Cricetulus griseus: one gene and its partners. The protein of the gene in region 2 interacts with the protein of the main gene of each other region in a biochemical or structural test. Links are inferred from orthologs where the notes say so. Each region holds a gene or a part of one and is shown on either strand. Other genes may lie near its edges. The genes, in order: Abl1, Erbb3, Shc1, Hck, Tns3, Rasa1 and Rnf41.

Evidence for each region.
Region 1: the proteins of Erbb3 (region 2) and Abl1 form a complex in vitro, tested with the Homo sapiens proteins (2 studies listed by BioGRID and IntAct, with this or other methods). The link is inferred for Cricetulus griseus from reciprocal best matches to the Homo sapiens genes ERBB3 and ABL1.
Region 3: the proteins of Erbb3 (region 2) and Shc1 form a complex in vitro, tested with the Homo sapiens proteins (2 studies listed by BioGRID and IntAct, with this or other methods). The link is inferred for Cricetulus griseus from reciprocal best matches to the Homo sapiens genes ERBB3 and SHC1.
Region 4: the proteins of Erbb3 (region 2) and Hck form a complex in vitro, tested with the Homo sapiens proteins (2 studies listed by BioGRID and IntAct, with this or other methods). The link is inferred for Cricetulus griseus from reciprocal best matches to the Homo sapiens genes ERBB3 and HCK.
Region 5: the proteins of Erbb3 (region 2) and Tns3 form a complex in vitro, tested with the Homo sapiens proteins (2 studies listed by BioGRID and IntAct, with this or other methods). The link is inferred for Cricetulus griseus from reciprocal best matches to the Homo sapiens genes ERBB3 and TNS3.
Region 6: the proteins of Erbb3 (region 2) and Rasa1 form a complex in vitro, tested with the Homo sapiens proteins (2 studies listed by BioGRID and IntAct, with this or other methods). The link is inferred for Cricetulus griseus from reciprocal best matches to the Homo sapiens genes ERBB3 and RASA1.
Region 7: the proteins of Erbb3 (region 2) and Rnf41 form a complex in vitro, tested with the Homo sapiens proteins (2 studies listed by BioGRID). The link is inferred for Cricetulus griseus from reciprocal best matches to the Homo sapiens genes ERBB3 and RNF41.

The regions. Positions count from the first base shown.
Region 1 is NC_048599.1:143,524,716-143,528,215, reverse strand, and holds part of Abl1 (tyrosine-protein kinase ABL1), read right to left. Parts: intron 3,097-3,500; coding exon 2,912-3,096; intron 1-2,911. UniProt on the Homo sapiens protein: Non-receptor tyrosine-protein kinase that plays a role in many key processes linked to cell growth and survival such as cytoskeleton remodeling in response to extracellular stimuli, cell motility and adhesion, receptor endocytosis, autophagy, DNA damage response and apoptosis.
Region 2 is NW_023276806.1:129,334,173-129,337,297, reverse strand, and holds part of Erbb3 (receptor tyrosine-protein kinase erbB-3), read right to left. Parts: coding exon 3,049-3,125; intron 2,925-3,048; coding exon 2,826-2,924; intron 2,604-2,825; coding exon 2,418-2,603; intron 2,300-2,417; coding exon 2,144-2,299; intron 1,916-2,143; coding exon 1,840-1,915; intron 1,649-1,839; coding exon 1,502-1,648; intron 1,399-1,501; coding exon 1,301-1,398; intron 1,214-1,300; coding exon 1,025-1,213; intron 924-1,024; coding exon 852-923; intron 656-851; coding exon 355-655; intron 217-354; coding exon 1-216. UniProt on the Homo sapiens protein: Tyrosine-protein kinase that plays an essential role as cell surface receptor for neuregulins.
Region 3 is NW_023276806.1:65,125,204-65,129,453, forward strand, and holds the start of Shc1 (SHC-transforming protein 1), read right to left. Parts: upstream 2,801-4,250; 5' UTR 2,392-2,800; coding exon 1,897-2,391; intron 1,350-1,896; coding exon 1,279-1,349; intron 815-1,278; coding exon 751-814; intron 637-750; coding exon 517-636; intron 39-516; coding exon 1-38. UniProt on the Homo sapiens protein: Signaling adapter that couples activated growth factor receptors to signaling pathways. Participates in a signaling cascade initiated by activated KIT and KITLG/SCF.
Region 4 is NC_048599.1:26,881,972-26,885,471, forward strand, and holds part of Hck (tyrosine-protein kinase HCK), read right to left. Parts: intron 2,947-3,500; coding exon 2,843-2,946; intron 142-2,842; coding exon 1-141. UniProt on the Homo sapiens protein: Non-receptor tyrosine-protein kinase found in hematopoietic cells that transmits signals from cell surface receptors and plays an important role in the regulation of innate immune responses, including neutrophil, monocyte, macrophage and mast cell functions, phagocytosis, cell survival and proliferation, cell adhesion and migration.
Region 5 is NW_023276807.1:96,332,004-96,336,234, reverse strand, and holds the start of Tns3 (tensin-3), read right to left. Parts: upstream 2,801-4,231; 5' UTR 2,641-2,800; coding exon 2,602-2,640; intron 1-2,601. UniProt on the Homo sapiens protein: May act as a protein phosphatase and/or a lipid phosphatase. Involved in the dissociation of the integrin-tensin-actin complex. EGF activates TNS4 and down-regulates TNS3 which results in capping the tail of ITGB1.
Region 6 is NC_048595.1:305,271,605-305,275,821, reverse strand, and holds the start of Rasa1 (ras GTPase-activating protein 1), read left to right. Parts: upstream 1-1,417; coding exon 1,418-1,938; intron 1,939-4,217. UniProt on the Homo sapiens protein: Inhibitory regulator of the Ras-cyclic AMP pathway. Stimulates the GTPase of normal but not oncogenic Ras p21; this stimulation may be further increased in the presence of NCK1.
Region 7 is NW_023276806.1:129,471,360-129,475,591, forward strand, and holds the start of Rnf41 (E3 ubiquitin-protein ligase NRDP1), read right to left. Parts: upstream 2,801-4,232; 5' UTR 2,537-2,800; intron 1-2,536. UniProt on the Homo sapiens protein: Acts as E3 ubiquitin-protein ligase and regulates the degradation of target proteins. Polyubiquitinates MYD88. Negatively regulates MYD88-dependent production of pro-inflammatory cytokines.

The DNA of each region.
Region 1 (3,500 bases), on a different chromosome or scaffold from region 2:
AAGACATCAGGGTATGTGAGGTGTTGGCCAGAGAGATGACTCACAGTGGGTAAAGTGTTTGCCTCACAAGCCTAAAGACCTTTTCGATAAGGAACATAACCGTACACAAGATAAGGTTATTGGTAGTACATTATAAATGATAACGATGCAAACAATTCACATGTGTAGCCGATAACCAGATTAGCAGCCCAGTCTCAGACGCACTCTGAGACCTGGCTTAAACCCCGAAAGAGAGCAAGCGCCTCTCCTCGCTCTTTATCCTACCCTTCTACGTACCTGTGGTCAGCAGTACAGGTATCTAGGATCTCTCCCAACACCTTTCCATCCCATAATCAACAAAGGGGAAAGGAGAGAGGTAACTCCACAAAGTTGTCCTCTGACATTTACATGTAACAAAGTACACACACACACACACACACACACACACACACACACACACACACACGCACACACGCACACGCACACACACATACATGCATGTACTCACATACATAAATGCACACAACATGCACATAAAAATGATGGAGAAGGCTTTTCCACACTGTGCAACAGAGAGCTGCAAAGCAGTCTGATCAGTGACATTTACCAGGCTCCCCATGATAACAGCCCAGGAAAGGTAGGACAGAGCAAAACTGTTTACTCATACTAAACTAAAATATGTGAAAGGAGAGAAGGGGAAAGGTGACCTCTGGGTTACAGGGTCTCTCAGGTAAGTGGCATAAGGGCTAGATGTCAGATACCATGTTCCGCTCATAGCTCTGTGACTATGTAGTCGAATGCCTGTTTCTAGGTGGGTAAGATTATCCCCACAGTTTGTAAAAAATCTTGTGAACTCTGAAAGTCTTTCTTCCCTCCAGCAGCACTGGGGATCCTCAGAAAAACAAGTGACTCAGATCTGGGACAAGGAAGAGGCCTGGGCTATCTTGCCATTCTGGACAGCATGGATGTTATGAAAGACTACAAGGTATACTGACAAAAGGGCGAGGGAGGAGTTCCCACTGGCCAAAGACAAGATGCTCCACTGTTAAGAAAAAGAACTACAGTACACTGAAACATATCAGTGTGTCAACACCACAAAAGACTAGCAAATCCAACTGCCACCACTACAGGAAAGTGGGAGCCATGACAGGCAGCTCACTTGAACCTATTTCTGCACCAGCTCTACCACTGAGTAGCCAAGCACATACCAGGTTTTGTCTTTTACACTCTGTGGCTAACTAAATATGGAATGAAGGAGTTAGAGAATGATCACATGACAGCCCCCAGTGAACCACCAGTTCTGGCTCTGGTCATTAAGAGCTGCTACACCACATCCCACACAGCAGTGGTTCTCAACCTTCCTACTGCTGTATCCCTGCAGGCCAGGAGAGGGCACCAGATCTCATAACGGATGGCTGTGAGCCACCATGTGATGTGGTTGCTAGGAATTGAACTCAGGACCTCTGGATGAGCAGTCAGTGCTCTTAACCTCTGAGCCATCTCTCCAGCCATGCTGTGACCCTTTTAATAGCTCCTCATGTTGTGGTGACCCCCAAGCATAAAATTATTTTATTGATACTTCATGACTAATTTTACTGCTGCTATTAATCATAATGTAAATATTTTTGGAGATAGAGGTTTGCCAAAGCAGTTGAGAACTGCCACACTAGAGGGTAAGAAGTCAAGCATTATGGATAAACCGATCTAAGGGCGTGCCACTTCCTCTAATGTATTAAGTGAAAGAAAAGTCAACCCAAATGTCATCAGGTATCCAGATCTGATTTTGAATTTTCTAAGAGGATTGAAGCCACAGGCACTGAACAGATGACAGCACAGGAACACAACAAGCAAAGTCCAGAATCTGGAAACATCTAAAGGAAAAGTGACAGAGTTTATCAATAAAGAAAGCAGTAGCAGGGAAATAGAGTCACACAGGACACATCAACTATTGCAGTGAGTGAGCCGAGCTGGCTCTCACATGGAACTATACACACAGACCTGGGTTTATGGTTTAACTGGAAATGTGAGCACTGGATATCTGATGATATTCAGAAGTCAGTCAAGACTGGGTGTAGCACTGTGCTGTATTAGAGGAGTCATCTGTAAGATGCAAATACTGAAGTGCTTACATGTAAAATAATGTAATGTCTGGAACTTGCTTTAAGATAACAAGAGGTGGCCAGGTGGTGGTGCACGCCTGTAATCCCAGCACTCAGGAGACAGAGGCAGGTGGATCACTGTGAGTTCGAGACCAGCCTGGTCTACAGAGTGAGTTCCAGGACAGCCTCTCCAAAGCCACAGAGAAACCCTGTCTCAAAAAAAAAAAAAAAAAAAAAAAAAAGGGCGTGGGTGGGGCAAAGGGCTCACTACTCAACTCCATCTTTTCTGGCCATCCTCAGCATGAAAAGTTCTTTAAGTCAGACACTGTGGCACACGTCTTTAATCCCAGCAATTGGGAGGCAGAGGCAGGTGGATCCCTGAGTTTGAGGCCAGCTTGGTCTACAAAATGAGTTCTAGGACAGTTGAAATTATGTAAAAAGACCCTGTCTCAAAGCAAAGCAAAGCAAAACAAAACAAAAAACAACAACAAAAAACTTTAAAAATAAAATAAATACCGAGTGGTACTTCCACATGAAGTGCTGACTGCAGCCCAAACCAAAGTGAACAGCTCTCCTGCAGAGAGAGTGACTCTGGGTGTCAGCCGGGTCATAGCTGCACCATCAGGGTTACAGCTAGCTAACATGGAATGAAGACACGAATGTGGTGCTACCCTAAAGGTCACTTTTGCTTCATTTTTGAAAGAAAACAGAAAGAGGGTTTTAAAATAAGCCAGAAACAAACAAGAAGGTGTAGCAATGAAGGAGAGATGGCGGTAGAGAAGCAGAGGAGGAGGGCTCCCACTAGCAAGGACTGCCCAGGACCTGGCCCTTACCCCAGACGTCTGACTTGATAGAGAACTTGTTGTAGGCCAGGCTCTCGGGCGCGGTCCACTTGATGGGGAATTTGGCTCCAGCATGGGCCGTATAGGTGTCCCCTGTCATCAACCTGCTTAGGCCAAAATCAGCCACCTTCACCAAATGGTTTTCCCCAACCAGGCAGTTTCGAGCAGCAAGGTCTCTGAAAAAAGGAAAAGAGCCATCTGTACAAGCTCCTCGCTGAGCCCTCCTCCTCCCCCACCAACTCTGCAGCTTCTTTACTGTTGGCAGATGATGTAACACTGACACAAAGAAAACCAAGTGTGGTCTCTAGAACTTTCAAATGCCTGGCTGGGGAGCAACAGTCTCCCATCAAATACTAGTCGGGCTGCAATAGCAGCAACACAAGCAGACAGGGTGGCAATGTGGACAGGTCCTGTCCCATGGCCTGGAGCATGTTAATTACCTTGGAACTCAGCTATCTCACTCATAAAATGAAGATAGTAACAGGGCCTGCCATGGGCAGCTGTGTGTGAAAATGGATAGTATGTAAAGGGCTTTCTCTTGATGCCAGGCACAGGGAACAGTTAGCCTAAAGCTCAACTG
Region 2 (3,125 bases):
GCGTGCTGCCCAGAGAAGCACTGAGGTCTGAGGCCACATCCATGTACTCGTAACCCAGCTCTTCAAGGGAACCAGGCCTAGGGGGCCGAGGTGGGCTGCTCCTTCTCTTCCGGTTCATGTATTCATACTCCTCGTCCTCATCTTCTTCTTCAGTACCCAGCACAGAGCTGAGACCTACCGAAGAAGAAAGAGTACCTTCCCGGGAGGAGGATGTACCTGCGGTTGAGAAAAATTACAAGTATGTATAGAACTTCAGAGAAATAACAAGGAATGGGGTAAGTTACAAAACAAATGACTAGGAGACATCAGAAAATATGAAAGAATCTAGGGGAGCTTGGAGAAAAAGCCAGGTACCTTTGAGGTGTGTATCTGGCATGACATAGCCATTGACATCCTCTTCCTCTAATCCTGGTGGAGAGAGCGGGGTGACAGGGGTAAGCAGGCTGTGTCGCTGTGAATGGTAGGCGCTGTCTCCACGTGGCCGAGGGCTCCGGCTCCGGCTCCGGCTTCTACACACCGACACTTTCTCTTGGAATTCAGCCTCAGAGCCTGTCACATGGCCCTCTGATGACTCTGAGGCCAGACGTCCCCGTGGAATTGGATGCAGAGAGATGGGACGGGGGCACTGTTCGCTACCCCCCAGAACTGCAGAATCCTAAGGAGGAAAATAACAGGCAACAATACAAGGAGAGTTAAACTGATTTAGAAGGAGGCGTGGTTGTCCAAGGCCTTCTCTATTGCAGGGTGTTGATTAAACCTTCAAGATTTGAAGCGTCTTCCCTCCATATCTCTATCAACACTTCCAAGCCCTTAAGACTCTCTGCCACCCCAGCCTCCAGCTGCCGACTTACCAGACAAGCCTGCCCGAGATTACTCTGGTTCATGGGCATGTACCCAGAGGAGGGGCTTAAAAGACTCTGGCTCTAGGATGAGAAAGGAAAGAAAAGGGTTAAAATGAAGGAAGAACTCTTTTAGCATGGAGGGTTCATGGAGCAGAATCCTCTGCACTAAGAAGGTGTCCTACCCCACGAGGCCGGGTGAGCGTTCCCAGCGGTAAGCTGAGGGCAGAGCCCAGTGTGGTCGCCAGGTTGTCCTCCTCGGCCTCCAGATCCAGGTCCAGGTCCAGCTCAGGCTCCAGCTCTACTTCCTCCAGCTCTTTGTTTGTCAGGGCAGAGGGTTCTGCCCCAGGAGGCATTCCAGGCCCACTCTCCCTCTACAGGAGCAGATAGCCATCAGGTGGATTCTAGTTCCAACCAGGTCTTCTCTCTAAATGACTTGGCACCCTCAAACCCCTCCTCACCTTTATGACCAGATACCGAGGTGGGTCACGGGCCATCCTGGTGAACTCATTGGCTAGTTCTTTAAAGGTCGGGCGGATATTCTCATCAATCATCCAACCTGTGGATGAGATGGAGGGGTTAGTGCAGAAGAGAAGAGAGCCAGCCATGGAGGAGAAAGGAAGGCAGTCAGCTAGAAAAGCAGGGGTCAGCAAACAACTCACACTTGACCATGACCATGTAGACATCAATGGTGCAGATCTGGGGCTGTGCTAACCGCTCTCCCTTCTCTAGCAGGTCTGGTATCTCAGCCAGTCTCAGCCCCGCATAGGGCTCTGCCCCGAAAGTCATCAACTCCCAAACTGTAACACCTGATGTAGAAAGAAGTGAACTAGTAAAGTATGAAAAATAGATACAGGCTATTTAAAAATAGTAAAGGGGAGGTAGACTGCTTTAATACAAGGATCAAAAGTTAGTTAGGTGGAGAGTTCCTAAGAAGAGGAGACACAAAAGATAGTGGGGGACTTGGGCTGATGACATGGGGGCAGCCAGGTATGCGCACCGTAACTCCAGACATCACTCTGGTGTGTGTATTTCCCAAAGTGGATACATTCAAGGGCCATCCACTTAATTGGAGTCTGAAGATGAAAGATAAAGGTATTATCAGTTAATTTTCACAAATGTCCTTACTGTCTTTAAACCACAAGTTCTCTACCATCCTTTGTTTTCTGAACTTAACATTTTCTGCCATTCTCAGTTCCCTCTCCTCAGACTGACCACGGCTCACCTACATATCTCAGAAAGAGCCCCCACTACTCCGTACTCCAGGCTCCTCCTACTGGACATCCCCACCCTTGTCACCTTACCTTGGCCTCGCTGTGTAGTAACTGCTTGTCTTCTGGTGGCAAAAGGTCAGCCACACCGAAATCTGCCACCTGCACCTGACTGGGTGACTTGAGCAGCACATTGCGGAGAGCGAGGTCCCTGTGCACCATGCTGTGTTCCTCGAGGTAATACATACCCTAGAGGAAGAGCCGGCCAGTCACTGAGCAACAGAAGCTGCCCAAACCCCGTGTCCTCAGACCTCAGGCAGGCCCTGACTTTCCCCAGTCAGCGGCGGCTATCACAGTCTCCTCTCACCTTGGCAATTTGTACTCCCCAGTTGAGCAGCAGCTGTGGCCCCAGTGCTCCACGGTGCTGCCTCACATAATCAAGGAGGGAGCCCAGAGGCAAGTACTGAGTGACAAGCTGCAGAGCCGATCCTGGGCATAGTCCCAGGAGACGCACAATGTGGGCATGGTCTAGGCTACCAATGGCCAGCATATGCTGCAAAACGTAGGAGGTATTAGCCAGGAAGAAACAGGTCCAGGTTCACTCCACAAAAGCACACCCAGTCCACCCAATCCAGAGATCCCTCTAACATACAAGTACAGCATGCCTAACATGGATCTCACACACTGCCTGCCAACACAAGATCGTATGTCTACATGCCTGGATCCAGCACTGCCTTTCTTTTAGTGGCATTCGGGCTTGCCTTCCTTCACTTACATCAGTCACAGATTGAAAACTCTGCCGCCCACTCTTGTCCTCGATGACTTTAATGCAGACTGGAATCTTGATGGATTCTCCCTCAGGGATCCAAACCCCCTGAAAAGTTTGGGGTAGACATAAAAAAAAAATCATTCTTTTCATGTTAATCTTTTGCCAAAATCCTTCTCCCATTTTTCTGACGTCTTCTCCCCGCTTCTCCAGGCTTCCGTGAGTCATTCACCTTGTGGACAGTTCCAAAGACACCAGAGCCCAGCACTTTAAGCTTCCTCAGCTCTGTCTCTTTGAAGATTCTAGCCA
Region 3 (4,250 bases), about 64 Mb from region 2:
GCGAACGAGATGGACTGCATGTGATGGTTGGCAATGATCTGATGCGGGCAGGGGATGGAGAAGGAAGGGAACAATCAAGGTCAGCAGCCTCAGGGTCCCGTGTACCCTCACCCCAGCTATGACCTTGGCACCCACTCTCATTCTCTCATGTGGGCAGGGGATGGAGAAGGAAGGGAGTGGTCAAGATCCCGCGTGTCCTCACCCCAGCTATGACCTTGGCGCCCAGTCTTTCTCTCGGCTTCTAATCCTACACTCTTCTAATTTTGTTCTATTTGGCGGGGGTGGGGGGAGTGGGGGGGTGTAACAGGGATGCAGGGTCTCACTGTATAGTTGGAACTCAAACACCTGCCTCTGCCTCTGGAGTACTGGGATTAAATTTGTCACTATACCCAAGCCCTCTAATTTCTTCCTTCTCTACTCTCCAGTTGCTCCTGAGGACTCCAGGTTTTTGGCCTCCAGATCCCCCCACCCCATCATCCCATAACTACCCCCGTCCCTTTCAGCAGCCCCACCCACCTGTTTGCAGTCGGCTGCCATGAGGTTAAGGCTGCTGGTAGACACAGTGAGAGTGATTGGCATTCCAGCAAACTTCAGGTTACTCCTCCCCAGGATAGAGCTGAGTGGGCGGCTACAGGGCTAGGAAAGGCCCCAAGTCTCAGAACCTGAGCACTGGCAACACCAGGAGACACTTCTGTCTCCTCCCCTTGTGCCTGCGGTTGCCTTCCCCCTGCCCACCACAACCACACATACCTTTCTCCTCCTTGTGGCTCCTTTGGCACCAGGCACGGCTTCACACACCAAACTGATGGCCTCCCTAGAGAAACAGGGGTACTCAGACCTACTCCTGGCCTCCCACTGCCTGGGGCTGCCACAAAGCTGGGGGAGGGGAAGAGCAGGCCAGATTCTCAGAGCACTCCAGGCTCTTTGTCGTGGTGGATTGAATTAAGGGCCTTTAATATTTGATGACACTGAGGGGCTGCTTCCTGGCTGATTGGGTTAGGGCCTCAATGGTTATAGCCCCACCTCTTCCCAGTTACCAAATTTGCCATTCCCTTCCCAAAAGCAGCCTTTTGTAATCCATCGTCCCACAGTCTCCCAGGCTGCGTGGGTAAGGTGGTGCTCCAGACCAGAGCTGGCTCTTTGCAGTCAGACACACTGGTGTAACTTTCAGGTCTCTTAGCCACCCCATGAGAAGTCACCATCAGCACCACCACCAAATGCCCACCTTTCCTCCTCCTCCATACAAGACTCCAACAATACACCTGCCTCTCCACTAACCTGGTGACCTGAGTCCGGGTATTGAAGTCAAGGGCTCGCATTGACTGCAGGACCTCCACACAACCCATGTACTGTGGGGGAAGGAGGCAAGGATGGATCAGCTGCCCCCTCCCCGCAATACCCCACCCTTTGCAGAAGGTTCTAGGACTGTGCCCTATGTAGTCCCTAAGGGAAGTAAAGGTAAAGTAGCCTTCCTACTTCCTGGGGCCACCACCCCATAGTGAAGAAGGGCCACCAAAGAGGACCTTCATGCACTGTGGAGAGATTGTGAGAGGAGTTGTAGGCACTGGGTGGGATGGAGTGACAGCTATGGAAAAGGGAGGAGTCTAGAGGGAAGAACCCAGAAGTCATTTTTCATTCAACACTTACTAAAAGCCTCTGATGTGCTTGACCATTGTGTAAGCTGGGGGTAGGGATCAAAGGAAAGGGGACCTAGGCAGAAGACTCCCAGGCTAGAACAGAAGGCATAGAACTGGAGAAGGGATGTGGCAGGCAGGGTTAAGAACTAGGGGAATGCCACAGATGTTGGGGGAAGAGCAGGAAGTCCCAGCAAATCTGGAGTGAGCAGAGGAACTGGATGGGGAATGGGAGGGGGCAGAAAGGAGGATGTACACTCACCCGAACCAAGTAGGAAACCCCAGGTCCCATGACTTTGTCGTTGGGATGCAGCCAGCCTCGTGTGGGCTTATTGACAAAGCTCCCGTGTCTGGTCCACTCCTCGCCCCCCAGCTGGCCCCCTTCTACCCGAGTCCTGCGCCCGCCGCCTCCACTCAGCTTGTTCATGTCCTGGAGGAGGGGCAAGAGGCCTGAGTCCCGAAGGGCTGCCCCTGCATTCCCTTCCCCATCTTCAGCAGCCTTTCCTGGCTCTCCCTTAGGCCCCAGGCGCCCCCCAGCAGGATTGGCCAGCTTCAGGTTGCTCATCCGGGGAAAGAAGGAACACAGAGTAGTCGGACTATCATCCCCCGGCAGAGGAGGCAGAATGGGTCCCAGGGATGAGGCTGACGGGGAAGGCAGCTCTTCTGTGGGGGTAGACCCTGAAGCCCCCTCCTCCAGCGATGACAGAGACTCATTTCGAAGTGGGTTGTACTTCGGCTTGGGGGGTAGAAGATCCATGGCTGGGGTGAGAAGGGGGGCTGCTGCCTGGCCCGGCCTGGCCCCCCTGCCAAATTCAGGCAAGGGGGCCAGGCAGGGGGCATCCCCAGGCCCTTAGCCTGGTCTGACCTCTGCAGCCTGGTGATAACAGAGGACCTAGGGAAGCGAAGGACAAGTGGCCTCTGCTCTCCCACGTCAGACCAAGACAGTTTCAGGCCACATCCTTGCCCAGCCCTGCGAGGAAGCCTCTTATGGCTGAGGAGTACAGGCTGGACCCAGAGCTGACTGGCTCCTCCCCAGGGGCGGGGAACCAAGGGGAGAGACCAATCCCAAGGACAATGCTGACTCACAGGCTCAGAGGGGCAGAGACACCTCCTCACACAATGTGTGCTAGCCAGGCCACTCTCCCTTACCCAATACAAACAACTAGGGTCTGTCTGGGGAGGATGAAGGTGCCAGGTAGGAGAGAAAGATGGAAGAATAAGAAAAAGAGGAAAGAAGGAAAGGAAGGAGTTAAGAGGAACTCTGGATTAATCCAAACTGACATGGGCTAGCCAAAGAGAGCAGGAAGCCCGGAAGGTTAGGAGGGATAAAGGAGGAAACAGAAGCTGCTGAGGGAGGAAAGGGGGGGGGGTGATCTAGAGTTTAGTATTTCTCTTACAGCCTAGACCATCCCCACCCCCCACCATACAGTAAGTGAGGTGGCAGCCCCAGGGAACCTGGGCCATTAGCATCCTCAGCCACAACAGCTGTGGACAAGAGCAAGGAACCAGGAAGAGAAAGTTGTCCCAGTGGGTGTAGATCGAGGCCAAGAGGGAAGCAAAGCTGAAACAGGAGGAATAAGGCCAATTTGGGCGGTGGTCTGGGAGCTACTAGGCAAGAGCTAGAGCAAGCCTGTCCCTTAGGCTTGTTACCTACCAAGGACCAATGGACTTCCTGGACCCCTTTCCAGAGGATGTAGAGACAATCAGGCTACCTTTAGACCTACAGACATATTTCTCTCCTTACAGGCTGTAAGGTCCACCCAACAGTGTCCCTCACACTAGTAGAGGAGTTGGCCTTGGAGGTCTGAAAATGAAACAAACAGAACTGGTGCCTACAAGCCACAAAGGGATAATAGGGCCATAAACAAATCAGTGTTAATAAAGACAGGAAGAAGAAAGGGATACCAGAGGTTGGGATCTGGCCATAAGTGCATAATAACACCAAGCCCATATTCCTTTGCCCACAGCTTCCTGCCACAGCTCTGCTAAAGGCCATCAGGAAGTTAAAGAAAGTGACCAATCAGCATTACTCCAGAATAAACTATCACTTATTTCCTTTAAAAAAAGAAAAAGGGGGGGGGGGAGAGGCAAATACAAGAAGTAAAAGGTAGTTTCTTTACAGGCTCACCTCCAAACTACCTTTAGGTTTAGTTTGGAGAATTAAAAACTGTATGATTGTGATTAACAATACCGGAACTTAAAACGGGTTAAATATCATTCTTCCGATTTTTCACCTGCCCTTAGTCCCCATCCCAGGAGAGCTGTTACTGAATATCGAACTTCTTCCTGAAAAGAAACTCTGTCATCCCGTCTACTAAGTAAGACCTCAGCTCTTAGAGGAGGAAAAATTCTGCCACAGCCATACACTTCCAAACACACACAATGATTCTTCATCTTGAGAGATGGCTTTCTCTAGGAGCGTTCATATCCAGAGGCAAGGAATGACCAAGAGTATGCACATTTGGAAGAAAAGGAAGCATGAGCCTTTAAATCTGCTTAAAGAGATGGGAGATTATCTACCGGACCAAAGCTAGGTAGTGGCAGCTGGGGGAGAGCCGTGTTTTGTACCTCAGCCCAGCAGGGAGGAAGCTGGAAGGGTAGGAAATAGCAGGAAAT
Region 4 (3,500 bases), on a different chromosome or scaffold from region 2:
GGGCCACAAGTTCCTGCAGGCTGTTGAAGGTACTCCTCGGAGAGATGTAGAAGCCTCCACTGTCCAGTGTCCGGATCTTATAATGCTTCACGGTGTCCCCGTGCTGGGGGTCGTAGTCTCGAACAGACAACGAGTAGCTCCCTGCATTGGTCCAAGAGAAGCCCCTCAGAATGGCACCTCAGAGGCCTGACCTTCTGATGTCAGTATGATTCCCTGTGAGGCCTCTGCTGGCATCACGTGAGCACCTGGGCAGATGCTCATGTCATTGAGTGGGCTGAGGCATCAGGCTGCCTGGTTACCCAGCCCAGTTCTGCCATTCTCAGCTGTGAGCTCTTGGACAAATGACTACATGGCATACCTCAGCTTCCTCACATGTGAAATAGGAGTCGTCATGCCATTCCATCTCATCACATTGCCCAGTGACCAACAGAAGTAATACTTGTAATTGACTTGAGACAGCCAGTAGGCTGGTTGTCACTATCACTTCGTTATTTTTGATCTATAGTCATCCATCCATCCATCCATCCACCCATCCATTTATCAATAATTTATTCATCTGTCATCTATTTAAAAGCCAAGATGCCATACTAATTTGGTAAAGAGAAGAGAAAGGAGAGAGAGGGAGAGAGAGAGGGAGAGAGAGAGAGAGTGAGAGAGAGAGAGAGAGAGAGAGAGAGAGAGGGAAAGAAAAGAAAATCTGGTCTGATTACAGAAATGTGAAAAATGCACTGTGGTCAGCTGTATAATGGTCCATGATATTCATGTGAATCCCTGCACATGGGAATATGTGAGTTTACATGACATAGAACCCATGGGCATCCCAGTGAATTCAGAGGGGTGTTTATCAGAGGGAGGTGGCTACTCAGAGAGGAAAAGCCATGAGCCAAGCATGCTGGTGGCCTCTCAAAGCCCCAAAGGTCGGAAAGAGAAATGGGGCCACCCCACCCTGTAAGCCCCCAGAAGGAGCCAGTCCCACAGACACCTCGACCAGAGCCCAGCCAGCTCAGACTCTTGCCTTCCAGAACTGTGAGGTAATGTAGATACGTTGCTCTAAACCACCAAGCTTGCAGCTATGACACAGATCGTCGCATAGACCAGAGACACACAGGTCTTCCAGTCCATGGCCACAGTTTGCAATGTACGAGCTGGCCTAATTAGCCTCTCTGCATTTCTTTTCTTTCTTCTTTTTTTTTCTTTTTTAATGACACAATGTCATCGGATCTGGGGGAAGTTTAGATTGCCGAGTGACAGCTGACTGTACATGCCAAGCACTGTTCTAAGCATGCTGGAACAGCATGTGAATAGGAATAGTCCGCATTTCAATAAATTAAGATTCCATGATAAATGAGTGGGAATAGTATGCATTTTTAATAAATTAAAATTACATGAGTTATATTGCTCATCATTGTGAATAGTCTCATGAGGTAGAGGTTTTATACTATTATCAGCGTCATTTTACATAGGCGAGGACACTGAGGTGGTGACATAACTTACCTGGTGTCACATAGCTGGTAAGTGGCACAGTTGGGTTCCAAACCTAGCCAGTTGGCTCCAGGGCCCCTTCTTAGCCACCCTGTCCCAGTCAAGGTGGGGGTGGGGTGGGGTGGGGGCATGGGGCAGAGTAGCTGGTGCTAGGCAGGGTGTACAGGATTTGGGGAGTAGCCAGCGCTCGGGGCCTCATTCTAAATCTGTCTGATTCCCCCAACCGAGGGCTGTGGAACTAGCCCAGCCCATCCTTCTGTCCACAGGTCTTCCACAGCACCCGCTGATTGTTCTGCTTCTCTGCAGAACTGGACAGCCCAATCTCTACTATTCTAGGCATAGCTGGAGGTAAGGGACTGTGCCTCTCTGCAGCCTAAATGTTGGCTGACCTCACACAGATGGAAGAACTGGTCTCAGACACACAGATGCCTTCAATGTCCCTCAAACTATGTGCCTCACAGTACCAACCAGGTCATGCTTTATATAACTGGCGTGACCTGTTCAAATCAAGTGACTTTGAGAGCAAATGACAACCAAAGGCTCACTGCGCTGCACCTGTAGAGTCTGAACTCATGGAGAGCCTGCGGCGCTGCTGCCTGCAGAAACTCACGGGGCAGTGCTAGTTGGAACCACTCTCTGTGGTTTGAGGTGATTTTGTTTTAAACTCTAGTCACTCACTCAAGTTGCCATCCTTTCAGCTCACAATTTCAGGACAAGACTCCTGATGTCTACCCATCCATGGCTTCTTCCTATCCACAAGCCCCCAAAGGGCTCCCCACTTAAGTCTTTGTGGGGTAGGGTGCTTGCATGCTGTGCCATGCTTGTGGAAGTCAGAGGACAGGAGTTGGTTCTTTCCTTTTACCAGGCATCTACGGCTAAGCCATCTCACTTCCCCCACCAAGAGGGAATTTTAAGTGAGTCTCAGAGGTTGTTTTGGGTCTAGCTGTACCTTACTGTACACTGTTTCCTCGCCAAGGAGGAATGGGACTTGTGGACAGGACACGGTAGGGTGGCTATTTAAAAAAATTGAACCAGGAGCTATTTAGTGGGGACCAAATGGCAGCAGGATGTTTGTTGCCAGGGCTCAAACCACTTCCGTTGGCCTAAGCCTGCATTTACCAAAACTGAAGAGAGCAAAGACCCTTAAACCACTTCCGTTGGCCTAAGCCTGCATTTACCCAAACTGAGGAGAGTCACTCAGCAAAGACCCTTAGCCTTCCCATCACTCAGAGCAGCAAAGGAAGGGAGAAAACCTGGCCGCATGGCCACTTGACTGAGCTGCTCAGCCCTACTCAGAGAATGTCCCTTGGGGTTGGAGGTGGCACCAAGGGGCACAGGAGGCAGGAAGGGCTGGTATCACCTTTGGTGGTCTCACTGTCCCTGATCATGAAGGAGCCTAGCACATTGCCGGGAGCCAGGAGGTGGCGCTCTGCATCCTTCCGGCTGATACCCTTGAAGAACCACCTGCCAGAAACGAATAAGGACAGTATGAGCCTCAGGATGGACCTATCTATCCTGCTCAAATGATGCCCAGGCCTTACTGAGCAGAGACCACCAAGAGGTCAGGGTCCAAGCACCTGACTTCAGGTAGCATCTTTTTTTTTTTTTTTTTTTTTTTTTTTTTTTTTTTTTTTTTTTTTTTTTTTTTTTTTTTACTTTTTGGGGTGGTTGGAGGGAAACAGCTTTCTTTCTTTCTCTCTTCCTCCCCCCTCTCTCTCCTCTCTCTTTTTTCTGCTATGTTGGATACTGATGGAAATGTTCCTTTTGTAGCAGCTGAAGCAGTTTTCACCCTCACTGGGATAAGGAGCAGTTCATGTACCAAAATGGGGAGAGAGTCTTGAAAAGATGTCAGCATGTCTCAGCCCTGCTAGATGACTTTCATTCTATTCTCTGTTTCCTCAGTATCAACAAGGGGAAAAGATAGCTAACATTCATCAATGTTTTCTCTCTGAGACAAGGTCTCCTTATGTAGGTCTGACTGCCCTGGAACTCCCTATGTAGACCAGGCTGGCCTCAAA
Region 5 (4,231 bases), on a different chromosome or scaffold from region 2:
CGGTCAAGATTTGGAAAGTGAAGGGGGCTTTGGAGTTTTGAGGGAGTCAGAGGAAACAAAAGACTTGAGAAGACTGGTCCAGGGCTGATCAGTTAGGGGTGGTTTATCTTGATTTCTGTCTGATGGTGGGGCTTTTAGTGCTTTGACTGAGAATAGCAAGTCCCAGGCACCAGCAAGTGATTTACCACAACTGTCTGTGGCCAATGCCTGTGGGTAAATTGCGTCTCTGATTAATACAGGGTCAGGCTGGCTAGGATTTCTCCCCAGGTTTCATTTGCCTGTCACATGCTTATTAACTTTTTAAAATGTATACACAGTATTTCATTCAGAAAAAAAAAATACTAAGTAGTACAGTACAGTCATCTGGCTTGTGCTCAAAGATTCCAGTTCTCACTTAGTACATCCCATGTGTCAGAATTTGAGTTAAGATCCTTTTAGTTTGTTTATTGTTTGGGACAGGCTCTTACAGCTCAGGCTGTCCTGGAACTTGCTATTTAGACCTGGCTAGCCTCTCATTCATGGTCTTCCTGCCTCAGGCTACCAAGTGCTGGTAGTTAAGATCTTTAAAGAGGTCATTAAGGGTAAATAGGTCATTAGAGTGCTTCTGGTTAGACTTCTCATCATTGTGACAAAATACCTCACATAACTTCAAGGGAAGAAGTATTCGTTTCTGCCTACCATTTCAGAGATCTGACTGTCATAGCAGCAGGACAGTTCATGGCAGAGAGGAACACAGCTAGCCTAAGGGAGCAGCCTTGCAGATGCAAATAGCAGGCTGGGGCATAGAATGGGGCTGCTAGAGCTCCCTGCTGGCATCCTGATACCATGTGCCCAGACATCGAACATGGAACTGTGGAGTTTAATGTTCTCCTAGTCCACCCTCTCAGAATGGAGCTGTTTATTCCATGGCATTGCATGTTGAAAGTATGTAACTGGGGGCTAGAGGGCTCAGGGGTTAAGAGCACTGGTTGGTCTTCCCAGAGGTCCTGAGTTCAATTCCCAGCAACCACATGGAGGTTCACAACCATCTGTAATGAGATCTGGTGCCCTCTTCCACCCTGCAGGCATACATGCAGACAAGACACTGTATACATAATAAATAAATCTTTTTTTAAAAAAAGAAAGGAAGTATGTAACTGGCCTTTTTACTTTGTCCTCTGTAAACTAGGCTGGCCTCCAACTCACAGACATCTACCTGCCTCGGCTTCTTGAGGGCTGGGATTAAAGGCGTGAGCTACCACACCCAGCCGTGATTCTTTTTTCTTGAGATACGGTCAACATGGATCTCAGGCTGCCTTCAAACCCTATGAAATCAAAGGTGACCTTTAACTTCTAATTCTACCTCCAGAGTCCTGGGATTAGAGGCGTGCATATACCATGCCCTGTACTTGTGATACTGCCAATTCAACTGAGGGATTTGCGCATGCTAGGCGAGCTCTCTACCAACCAAGCTACATCCCCAGTCCACGGTGATTCACTTGACTGTCAATTTGACCAGACTGATAAACACCTATGATATTAATAGTGTGTCTGTGAGGGCATTTGCAGAGATAATTAGGCCATGACAGTTACCCTAATGACTGCAACATCTGAATAGACTTCGGAGAGGTTAGAGAACTGAGGTAGGTGGGGCCAGGCTAGAGGAAGCCAACCACACTTAATAAAGTGTGTGTGCGTGTGCGTGTGCGTGTGCGTGTGCGTGTGCGTGTGTGTGTGTGTGTGTGTGTGTGTGTGTGTGCGTGCGCGCTCTCACGGGAGTATGCATGTGTATGGGTGTGCCTGTGTCTCCATCCATCCCCATCCTTGGTCTCTTCCTGTTCTATCTCTGGGTTGGTGTGATGCCAGTTGCTCAATCACCACCACCTAACTCCTCCACCACTACTACCCCACCCCTCTACCACCATCTCACTCCCTACTCTCCACCATCCCCCACCTTGCTCTACCACACTTCACTCTGCCCCCACTCCCACCCCCACGATCACCATTCCACCCCACCCCACTCCACCACCCTGTTCCACCACACCCCACTCTACCACTGCTACCACCACCCCATTCTGCCATCCCACCCCTTGCAACCTCCCCACATCACCTACCATTCCACACTACTACCACCCCATTCCACCGCACCCCACCCCACCCCACCTCGCCCTGCCCCGCCCCAGCCATAATGGACTCAAATCTCAGACTGGGGGAAGAATACATCTTTCTTCCCTTAAGTTTTTGTACACCAGGCATTTGACACAAGTAGGAGTGATGTAAGCTGAGCCCTAATGATACCTCACTGATATTCTACAAATGAGAGAAGATGAGAACATACACACAAGATGGCCACGAGAGGACACTGGCAGCTGCAGCCAGAGAAAGATGCTGCAGGAGAAGCCAATCCCACCAACACATTGACTCTGAACTTCCAGTGAGAGGATCAGTTTCAGCCGTGAAGCCACTGAGTGTATGCTGCTGACAGCCTAGTCAATCAAGTGTGAAACAAGACATACTACATAGTGCTTTAGTCTCTCTAGGTACTCCGATCCTACCTGGTACCCCTTATTTTCAGCCATGTCCCATGGCCTATCCACCTGTGCCGTGATACAAGGTACATACCTTCATGTGACCACAACACTTGGTTATTTTGAAGAACATTTGTCTCTGCAGTCCGAAAGCTGAAGGCCCTCAACGAGTCTGCTCCAAGCATGCCTTCAAGTGACCTACCCAAGAAGTCTATTGTTGATCATGTGATCCTGGAGTGAGGTCACCAACGACCTGAAGAAGTTCAAAGTGCCTTGAGGTAAGCCCTTAACTTTCCTGATTATCTATAGATAGCTAGCCTGGGGGGCGGGGGCAGGGGCGGGAGATGAGATCAAATGTGGACATGTGAAATCTTAATCTGGATGCCTCACTGGTGACCAAAAGAATGTCACCCTTAGGACACCCACATGCAGGGAGCATTGGATATATCTCAGGTGGAACAAAGTTTCCTTCAAAGATTGGCCAGGAAGCAGCTCTATTCTTGGTGAGAAGGGCTGCTCCAGGGAGTCCTCAAAGCAACAGGAACAGAGTGTGGGTTTGGAGGAGTGGGGCAATGGGGCAGCCGGTGAATGGGGGAGCAGCTGGGGAGAGCAGCATCCCCCTATGGGACAGGCCTGTTGTCCCTCATCTTATGATTCATGCCCTCAGGATCTCTGGTCGTTGCTGCAGGCACGTCTATATTTACACAACCGGAAAAGCAATGTGTGGTCTCTCCTGAACACTTGGGTGATGTCGCAACAGTGGAAAGTTGGGAATCGGGGTTTGACCTCCTCACTGGGGGCTATTTATGAAGAAGTCTGTTGCAGGCTCTTGTCCTTAAGCAGTGTCTTTCTCTGCTAGGTCAGTCTTGGCATGTCTATCCTAGGCTTCTGTCTATCCTAGGAATAGATTGCAGTGGCCCAGATGAGACCAGGGTAGCTGGCTGCTCAGGAAAACCTCTGGGCCAGTGTCATGCCCCATGGTCAAGCCATGGTCCATCCTCCTGCTGTTGTCCTGGACCCAAGGCAGACCCAAACTGGTAACACTCAGCTTGGCAGTTCTCAGCAGCAATGTTCAGGACACTTCTAGATTGAGCTCTTCTGTCCTGAGGACACACAGCTGTGTGACTTGTCTCACCAGCCTTCTTGGGACTAGGGCTTTCAAAGAGGCTACTCCCAAGGAGGAAGGCTGGCCATGTCCTTCTCATGCTCCTTTAACTTCTTGATGTTCTGAGACATTACTGCGGCATCAGGCATAGTTCCAAGCACAGCCTGAGTTACAGGAAGGACAAAAACAAGCCACTACCACACCACAGAAGGAGTCTGAATACAGATGCCAGGGCCTGTTGGCAGAGACACCAGCACCTTAGTACAGACATGTGAAAGTTTGTGCTTTAAAAGGAGGGTTTGCTCGAATACTACTTTAGTATCTGATATGTGTGGGGTGGGGTGGGGCAGGGGTGTCGATGGGTTAGAAACCAGTAGTTTGAGGATGTCAGCTTTCTCAAGAGACAAGTGTCCCTAAACATTTGGATGAAGAAGGGGTAGGTTAGGGGACTCCAGCTGTTCTGTGGGGCATGACACTGGCCCAGAGGTTTTCCTGAGCAGCCAGCTACCCTGGTCTCATCTGGGCCACTGCAATCTATTCCTAGGATAGACAGAAGCCTCCTTTCTGCCTCGGTGTTGGAAAGATGGAGACCATAGCCACTGCCTACCTCCCTACCTCC
Region 6 (4,217 bases), on a different chromosome or scaffold from region 2:
GTGTGTATGAACTTATAGACTTATATACACATTCACATAAGGCGAACAAAATCTTTTCCTTGGCCATATTAAAGGTGACATTGATCTGAGTTTGGTAATTTTGTAAAGTTCAGATTTGGATATGTCTTGCAGACTCTTGAATACAAACTAGCACAAAACCACACTGACCTAGGCACTTTTCCTGTTCACACTTTATTGTCTGGCGTGCAAACGTGTGAGAGAGGCATTCGGAGCAGGGAACTTTAGTAGTAGAAATCTGGCTTTGCCTGTGTTTCCACCTTCACAGTTTTCCATGGCTCCTTTCATCAGTTTTTTTCTTGAGTCCCAGCTTCTAGGTTTGAATTATTTTACCGTGTGACAGTAGCACGGCGACTAACATTGTGCAACCAAAAGGAATAAACTGGGACTACTGCTTTGACCTTTGTTGCCGACTGCACCGGTGGTTGAGGACATTTTTCTTCAAGTTAGAAAGAAGGGAATGGACTTCCTGACATCAACCTTTCCTTCCCACCACCTCCTCGTCCCGCCGGTCCCTCGGGCGTGGACACGAGGGACTTTCCTTGTCGCCCCGTTAGCAAACAAAGCCGGGAGAGGCAGGCAGGCCCGCACAGAACCTTTGGCGTGGAGGGAGCGCGCCACGCGTCTCTCGCCGCTCAGCGAGAGAGCCTGCCACGCCCCCAGGCGCGCGCCCGCCCGCCCGCCCGCCGCTCCGCCGCCGCTCCGCCGCCGCTTCCTGCTGCCCGGGCTGCTTTTCCCTGGCCTCTCTCCAGACGCGCTCCCGGAAGGCGCCTGCGCAGAAGCCTCGGGCTCCTGCTCCCCTCCCTTCCTCCGCGGCCCGCCCTCCTTTCTCCCTCTCTCTCGGGTTTCGCTGCCGAGAGCGGACGGCAGGCAGCCGTCGAGTCGGGTTGTGCGCGCCCGCCCCCTTCCTCCGCCCCTCCCAGCGCCCGGGTCTCCAGCCGGCGGAGATGAGGCTGCGGCGGCCGCGGCTCCGGCAGCCCCGGCGGTGGCTGCGGTGGGGGCGGCCGGAACCCGGGCCTTGAGGCGCGGCGGCGGTGGCGGAGGAGGCAGCGCTGCCCTGGCCGCTGCAGCGGGCTTCCCTTCCTCTTTAGCGTAGCCAGGAAGTTTGGCGCCCTGTGCATGTGTGCGCGTGAGTGTGGGTGTGCGCGGCCAGCTCGGGTAGCGTTTCTGCAGGCACTGGGCTTTTTTGCCCGCGTCGCTTCCCGTAAGCCAGCAGCCGCCGAGCTTGGGCTGTGGCCGGAGGAGGGGGCGCGGCGGCGGGCGCTCTCCTTTTGTTGTTGTTTCCTCTGCCTGGAGAGCTGAAGGGGGACGCGCCTGGGTGGGGCGGCTCGCAGGCCGGGCCTGCTGGCCCCCGGGGCTCCCGGGCGGCCGGGGTAGCTAGAGGAGAGCGGGCTTCAACATGATGGCGGCCGAGGCCGGCAGTGAGGAAGGCGGCCCGGCCACCGCGGGGGCCGCAGGCGGTGCGGCCGCGGGCTCCAGCGCCTACCCGGCAGCGTGCCGGGTGAAGTTACCCGCGGCCCTGCCGGTGGCAGCCGCCCCCTGCCCCGGGCTGGCAGACGCCGACCTGGCTGCGGCCCTGGGTGGCGGAGCCGCGTTGGGGTCCGGGTTCCTGGCGACAGGGCCAGTGGCGGGTGTCCTGGGGGGCGCCGCGCTGACCAGCGGTGCTGCTGCTGCTGCTGCTGGCGTGGCGGGTGCTGCCGCCGCCGGACCTGCTGGGGATGTTCCTTTCGCCAAGGGGACTTTGTCGTTGTCTGCCGAGACCCTCGGGCCGGGTGGCGGATTCCCTCCTCTGCCGCCGCCTCCTCAGCTGCCCCCTTTGGGCTCCGGCCTGGGCACGGTGGATGAAGGTGACTCTCTGGATGGACCTGAATACGAGGAGGAAGAGGTGGCCATACCGCTGACCGCACCTCCCACTAACCAGTAAGTCCAAAATGCTGTTGAGGGATTGTGGAAGCTGGTTCCATGAAAGAAGTGGGCAAGAAAGCAAAACAGACCATGCTCCTGCGGCGGTAATTTGTTTGAAAAGTTTTGAAGTTTCACGTTCCTTATGTAGGGATTTAATGTGACCAGACATCTTCCCTACGGCACTGTCCCTGGCGTCCTCGTGTGTGTATTGCTTTTCTGGCAAGACAAAGTTTTTCAGATGGGAAGCATGGGAAACTGTATCCAGTGAGGACCGGATATGGTTCTGCCCCTTCCTAATTGAGATAGTGTCCGGGATTCAGCAGAACTTGGCACTGTAAAGGCAGCCACTGTCTATGGTACCTCCCATGCCCCTGCTGAATCTAGATTTACAGTGAGAACCATGAGTACAGGTGTTTACATGGGTATTACATTAATGTAAGTTGGAAATTCATTGGTCAGAATGTTTTCTTTTTGCTGCAGTTGCAAATCCCTACTTAATGTTTACTGGGAGAGTTGTGATTCAGAAAAGACTAGATCACTTTAGAGAAGCAGCCGAGAATGGAAGGAAGTTCTGTGAATTACAGGTGTGATTAAGGGCTCACACACTGAACACTAACTTGTTCCTTAATGTTGTTAGTATTCATGTAATACTTCTATACTGAGACAGTACAAAACATTAAAAAATAAAATATTGGTCGTGGCTGATGCTGTATTGTTTGGAAATTAATTTTGGTAGTTTATTGTGAATTAATCAGGGAAAATGGCTTTCCCTTTTAATTTAGAGTTGTCTCTTTAATGTGTTCTTTTCCTAAGTGAAATAGGTATGTCTTTGTAAATGTAGGTTGATTTTGATGAGGGAAAATTGTTGAGGTGGGAAGTGGTAATAATAGACGAAGCATGTTTTATAGAGCCTTCGAATCAGTCGTAATTGACCTTTAGAATTTCAACACCATTGGTAATTGTAGGAAAAAAGATTTGGTTCATATATTGACACTTTCTGGACACTTGAGAAGTTTTCTTTGGGAGGGTCAGCTTCTTAAGAGGCTTAAGAAATGACCTAAAGACAATCAGGGAAGCATTTTGTAATAGTAATCCATTCTCATTTAAGCTACATTTACTGCTCTTTTGAATGCATGTTGTGATTTAGAAATGCATTGGTCAGAAAGCTTTGTGTTTGTTGACATTTTCAGATTTCAGTTTAGGTCTGTTTTGATACTTCCCAGCTATGGTGAAAGGGAGTTATGTTCCTTTTATGTCATTCATCACAAAGTGTAACCTCTCTTTTCTTATTTTAATCTAATTTATGTCTGTGTATTGCAGTCTATCTTAGGAATATTCTGTGTTAAAAAAATTCCGGCATTGTGTATATACCTTTTTTGCCAAAATCAGTTATGCTTTTATTATAATAAAATGCAGTATAATGAGAGAATGTGGTCTTACGCCATTTTTGTAATTGAATTTGATTTAGGCATATTTACAATCTTGTTTTCTTAAAGGCATTTGAAACTTTAGTTATTTTTATTTTATGAGTGTTTGTCTGCATGTGTGTATGTGCATTGTGACAGTGTCCAGTGACAGAGGCCAGAAGAGGGCATCAGATTTCCTGGAACTGGAGTTACAGGTGGTTGAGAGCTGTTCTGTGGGTGATGGGAACCAAACACTGCTCCTCTGAAAGATCAGCAAGTGCTTTTAACTGCTGAGCCATCTCTCCATCCCAGTGTATTATTATTAAATTATTTCCAGCAGACTCATTTATTTTATTTTATTCTTTAAGAGAGGCTGTCATTCTAGTGTAGGATGGCTTGTAACTCACCGTATAACCCAAGCCACCCTTGATCGGTGATGATCCAGTTCAGCCTCCCAAGTGCTGGGATAGTAGGCTTGAGCCATCATATTCCCTTTGTAGGTTATAATATGCTTTAAAAGAGGAATTTAAACTTGACAGCAAAATGGAATGGAAAAATACAGATTATTTTCACACTAAATTTTTAAGATTAAGCATGATTATTTGGAGAAAATTTTATTTGTGAGAAATCTATTAGAAGTAATTTTATTATTTTTAAATATATTTAAAAATGAACATAAAATTTGACTTAGAGTAGTTCATATATATATATATATATATGTTTTTTTTTTTTTTTTTTTTGACAGGGTTTCTCTGTGTAACAGCTCTGGCTGTCCTGGAATTAGCTCTGTAGACCAGGCTGGAACAGAACTCACAGAGATCTGCCTGCCTCTACCTCCCCAGTGCTGGGATTAAAGGCATGTGTGCCACCACCACGGCCACCAGCACC
Region 7 (4,232 bases), about 140 kb from region 2:
GTCTCAATAAATCAAGAAGTCTATTTCTAAATTGTGTTCAGACCCAGTCTGAAATAATACTTAAAATCAGGCAAACAGTGGGAAAGCTGATGGACACCTGCAATACTAGCACCTGGGATTGAAGGAAGGAGGATCAGGAATTCAAGGCTAGCCTGGCCTATATGAGACCCTGTCTCAAAAAAATTAAAAAGTTCGGGCCGGACACTGGTGGCGCATGCCTTTAATCCCAGCACTCGGGAGGCAGAGGCAGGTGGATCTCTGTGAGTTTGAGGCCAGCCTGGTCTCCATATGGAGTGTCAGGATAAGCTCCAGAGAAACCCTGTCTCGAAAAACCAAAACAAACAAAAAACACTGTATAAGCTGGACAGTGGTAGCGCACGCCTTTAATCCCAGCACTCGGGAGACAGAGGCAGGCGGATCTCTGTGAGTTCAAGACCAGCCTCGTCTACAGAGTTCCAGGAGAGCCAGGGCTACACAGAGAAACCCTTTCTTGAAAAACAAAAAAAACAAAACAAAACAAAAAAATCCAGGTACTGCCTTCCACGTGGAAAACATTACTTTACACATAGACACCCAAGAATGCTGCTATAGGTGCAAAATGAGAAATACTCTGGAAGGAAATCGGGCTTTGAAAAAGGAGGGAAGAGGAGTGGGGCCTGAGGCAACGGGTGATACAAAAAAACAAGGTCAGGCATGGTGGAGTCTGTAATCCCAACACCTGGGAGGCTGAGACAGGAGGATCACTGCAAATTCAAGGTCAGCAGGGACTACAGGATGAGACCCTTCCTCAAATCATTGGTAAGGAGGGAAAAGTAGAGATGTTGCTCCAGGGTGGGCAACTTGTTCAGATATAGCAGTTAAACTGGGCTGACTAGATGCATGCCTACCGAGATAGAACCAAGTCCAAGTTTCCAGTGCCCTGAGAATTTGATTCAAAGAGGTACAGGAATGTTAACCAAACTCCTACTAATCAAACTCCTGTATCATATATATATATTTTTTTTTTTCAAGGGCTATGTTGGGATAAAATAATGGTGATTTTTACAAAGAATACAAATTCTCCAGAATATGGTACTTTGTTCATTAGTTCACCGTGCTCATCATCAACTACATGTTCACATGTCCTCTCAGAAGGAGAGATGATGTAAAACCTGGCACTTTCCCTTCTTCACAGTCCAGAAGAGGAGTGGTGGAGTTGATGTTCTTCTCCTCCCCATTTCCCAACAAGCTGGCACACACCTGTATCTCAAAAAATGCTTCCAGGAAGAGGTTCTATAGGCAATGCTCGGTCTCCTAGGGTCAAGACCCAGACCCAGAAATCAAAAAGCTTCCCGTGATGGGCAAATTAATAGGGGTTAATCTAAAAAAATAGATAAAGGGTTATTGACCAAGCAAAGAAGCAGGAGAGAGAGAGAGGTGTCTTGGGTTATTCCAGTCCTAGCTCTGCCACCCACCAACTTCAAATAAGGCATTGCAACCAGTTTCTCCAACTGTCAAACAGACGATGACATTTGCCCTATCTTACATACAGCAAATCAAACGACAAAATAAATAGGAAAGGAGATTCCAGACTGCTATTAGTTGTAGCAACAGAATGGCACAATAAATTCACAATGAGGACCAGAGGAAATGTTTGGAATTGCTTGTTCCCCCTTTTCAACTACTGGGAAGCAGGCCCTGTCACAGGGTCTACTGGTGACAGAGTATCAACATTAATGTACCCCTCTCCTTCCCTTACCACTATCCAATCCCATTCCTTCTTAGGGAAATACTAGCAGCCAGCAACACTGTAATTAGCTAACACTATTGTATAAGAAGTACCTGCCAAGATTCTCACAGGTCAGTCTCTGAGAACAGTGGCCTTGGTAACCGCCACAATTGCTACCAGTTGAGATGAAGCTAGTTTTTTAAAGGAAAAGTGTGTGCCGATCCCAAACATGCTCAATCCTGCTCGCTTTCGGCTCTCTCCTGTTCCTACTCTCTACCCACCAACTGTTCTGCCTCCTTGGGCTGGGGTGGGCTTCGTATAAAGCGAGTGGATGGATCGTGCGTGCGAGGGAGCGGGGCTGCAAATCATCCAGGGGCAAGGATGTCAGGAATGTAAGAGTCCTCCACGGAGGGGTGGGAGGGGAGAGGAGCGGCGAAGGAATAAAAGAGAAAGACAAGGCTGCCAAAGACAAGGCATGGGAAAGAAGCCAAGCTATGGCGCTTGGAGGGCGGAGGTTTGGGTTCCGTGGCTCCTGCCAAGGCTGGCCCCCAGAACGTTCCCCTCCTCGCCTCCAGGCCCGTCAATCATTGCCATTTAAACTCCACGTTGTCCCCTAGGCCGAGCCGTCTGCTCCTCCCCGGTCCTCGGGCCAGCCCAAGGCCACTCCCGCACTTCCCAAGGCTTCCCTGCTCCAGAGGACCTTCCCAAGCTCCTGAGCCCCCAGCTCGCCTCCCGACTCCTCCCAGCAGAGCTCCCTTCCTCCATCCTCCTCCCCCCCTCCACCCTTCCTCTCGACCCCCAGCACCTCCGACCCAGGCGCCTACCCACCGGGACCTCGCCCCCTCCGCTCCGCTCCGCTTCGCTCCCCTCCCCTCCCGGGTGAGAAGCTCGTTCAGGAGCGTTACGCACCGCCCTGGACACTGAGTGGGTTCTCCGGACGCGGGGCCGGGCTGCAGCTGAGGCCACGGCGGCCGCGGAGTGGCCTGGGTGCCGGCTCTCAGCCTCTCCCCGTAGGGGAAGGGGAAGGGGAAGGAAAGGATGGGGAAGAAGGTTCCAACCACTCCTGCTCGTCTCGGACTGACCCTTTTGCCACGCCCACCGCTGCTACGCAACGGGGCGGAAGTCCGTCACCAAACCCCGCCCCTTTGTTTAACTCGGCGGCGACGACCGGACGCTCCAAGCGAGCGGCCCCGGTTCGCTAGACCTCCGCTCTTGCCCGGAAGTTGTTAGAAACGGACCCCCGGCGGGATTTGATAGCCATTTGGGAGGGAGGACTCTATGCTCTCCAGGTGTAACGATCTGGGGCGACCGTGGATGTACTGCCCGGCCATGTCACTTCGTGTGCGATAACGCAGGTCTCGGGCGGGCGCTGCAGCTGATGCAACGTCGGGGCGAGATGGCCTCGGGACAACCGGTCTGCTACTGCTGCTGCTGCTGCTGCTGCAGCGTAACCTGCTGCTGTCCTCCCTGCCCCTCAGTTTCCAGAGCTGCTGTGGTCAGCATCGCGGAGCCTCCCGGCCTCGTGTCATGGGAAGGGACACAGCGGTTAACTCGGAAGGCTGCGGGGTGGGGAGGGGGGGAGGGAGGGAGGCAGGGAGGCAGGGTCACACCGCAAAGCTCTGACCCAGGGTGTTGTAAGGGTCGCCCGCCTCCCGGCCACATTCGATGGCTCTTGAGAAACTCAATCGTGCCCTGAAACACTGTGAAGGGTTTGGTTTCCTGAGGTTGCAGCTGCGCGATTGGGGGGTGTGGGTGGGAGAGAACCTGGACTTGGAAGTCACCGTGGAGCTTAAAGCGCTCTGCTATATAGGTAAGGGATCGAGCAAGGCAAGAAACGAGATTACATTTACCCCTTAGGCTAACCTGGTGCCAAACAGTATTTGTTATGTTGTCTTTTTAAAAAATTCACATTAGTGCATTTGTAACTCGTTTGTTTGTAAGAGGTAGTTGCCTTTGAGGACTGACAAGTACCCCGAGGGCACTAAAGGTGCTGGGTGTTTTAAGATCCAGTGAGAAAAGAAAATAGGAACCGGACATGCCCTGCGAAAAGACTTGCTTTTTATGTCCCGGATTCCATTTCTTCCAAAGGAGGCTGAATCTGCCTAATGTCTTTTCTAAAGCATAAATGCCACTTGATCCAGAGGCCTGGGCAGAACTGTTCAGTGTATTAAAGATGAAGGCCCCTATGTCTAAGTTAATGCCATATCCTAGGCATCGCTTTTTACCTAACTCTACATTTTCATGTATAAAACGGAATTTATATGTTTAAGAATAGCCGAGCAAAGAAGCGAAGAGAGGGGCTGGCATTCAAACTTCTGCCCGCTGCATTCCTAAGCCCTTGGACCTTTTTCCATTGTGCCACTACTTGAAAAGGAAAAAAAAAAAAAAAAAAAAACCCACAATCTTGCGAGCCTGGAGCGCCTTTTTCTGAGCCGAACTGAGGCGCCCCCTGGCGGTCGGTCCATCTTCTCCCGCGCGGAACTCATCTTCGTCGAGGCTCCTTTAATTCCTAAAACCTCCCCGT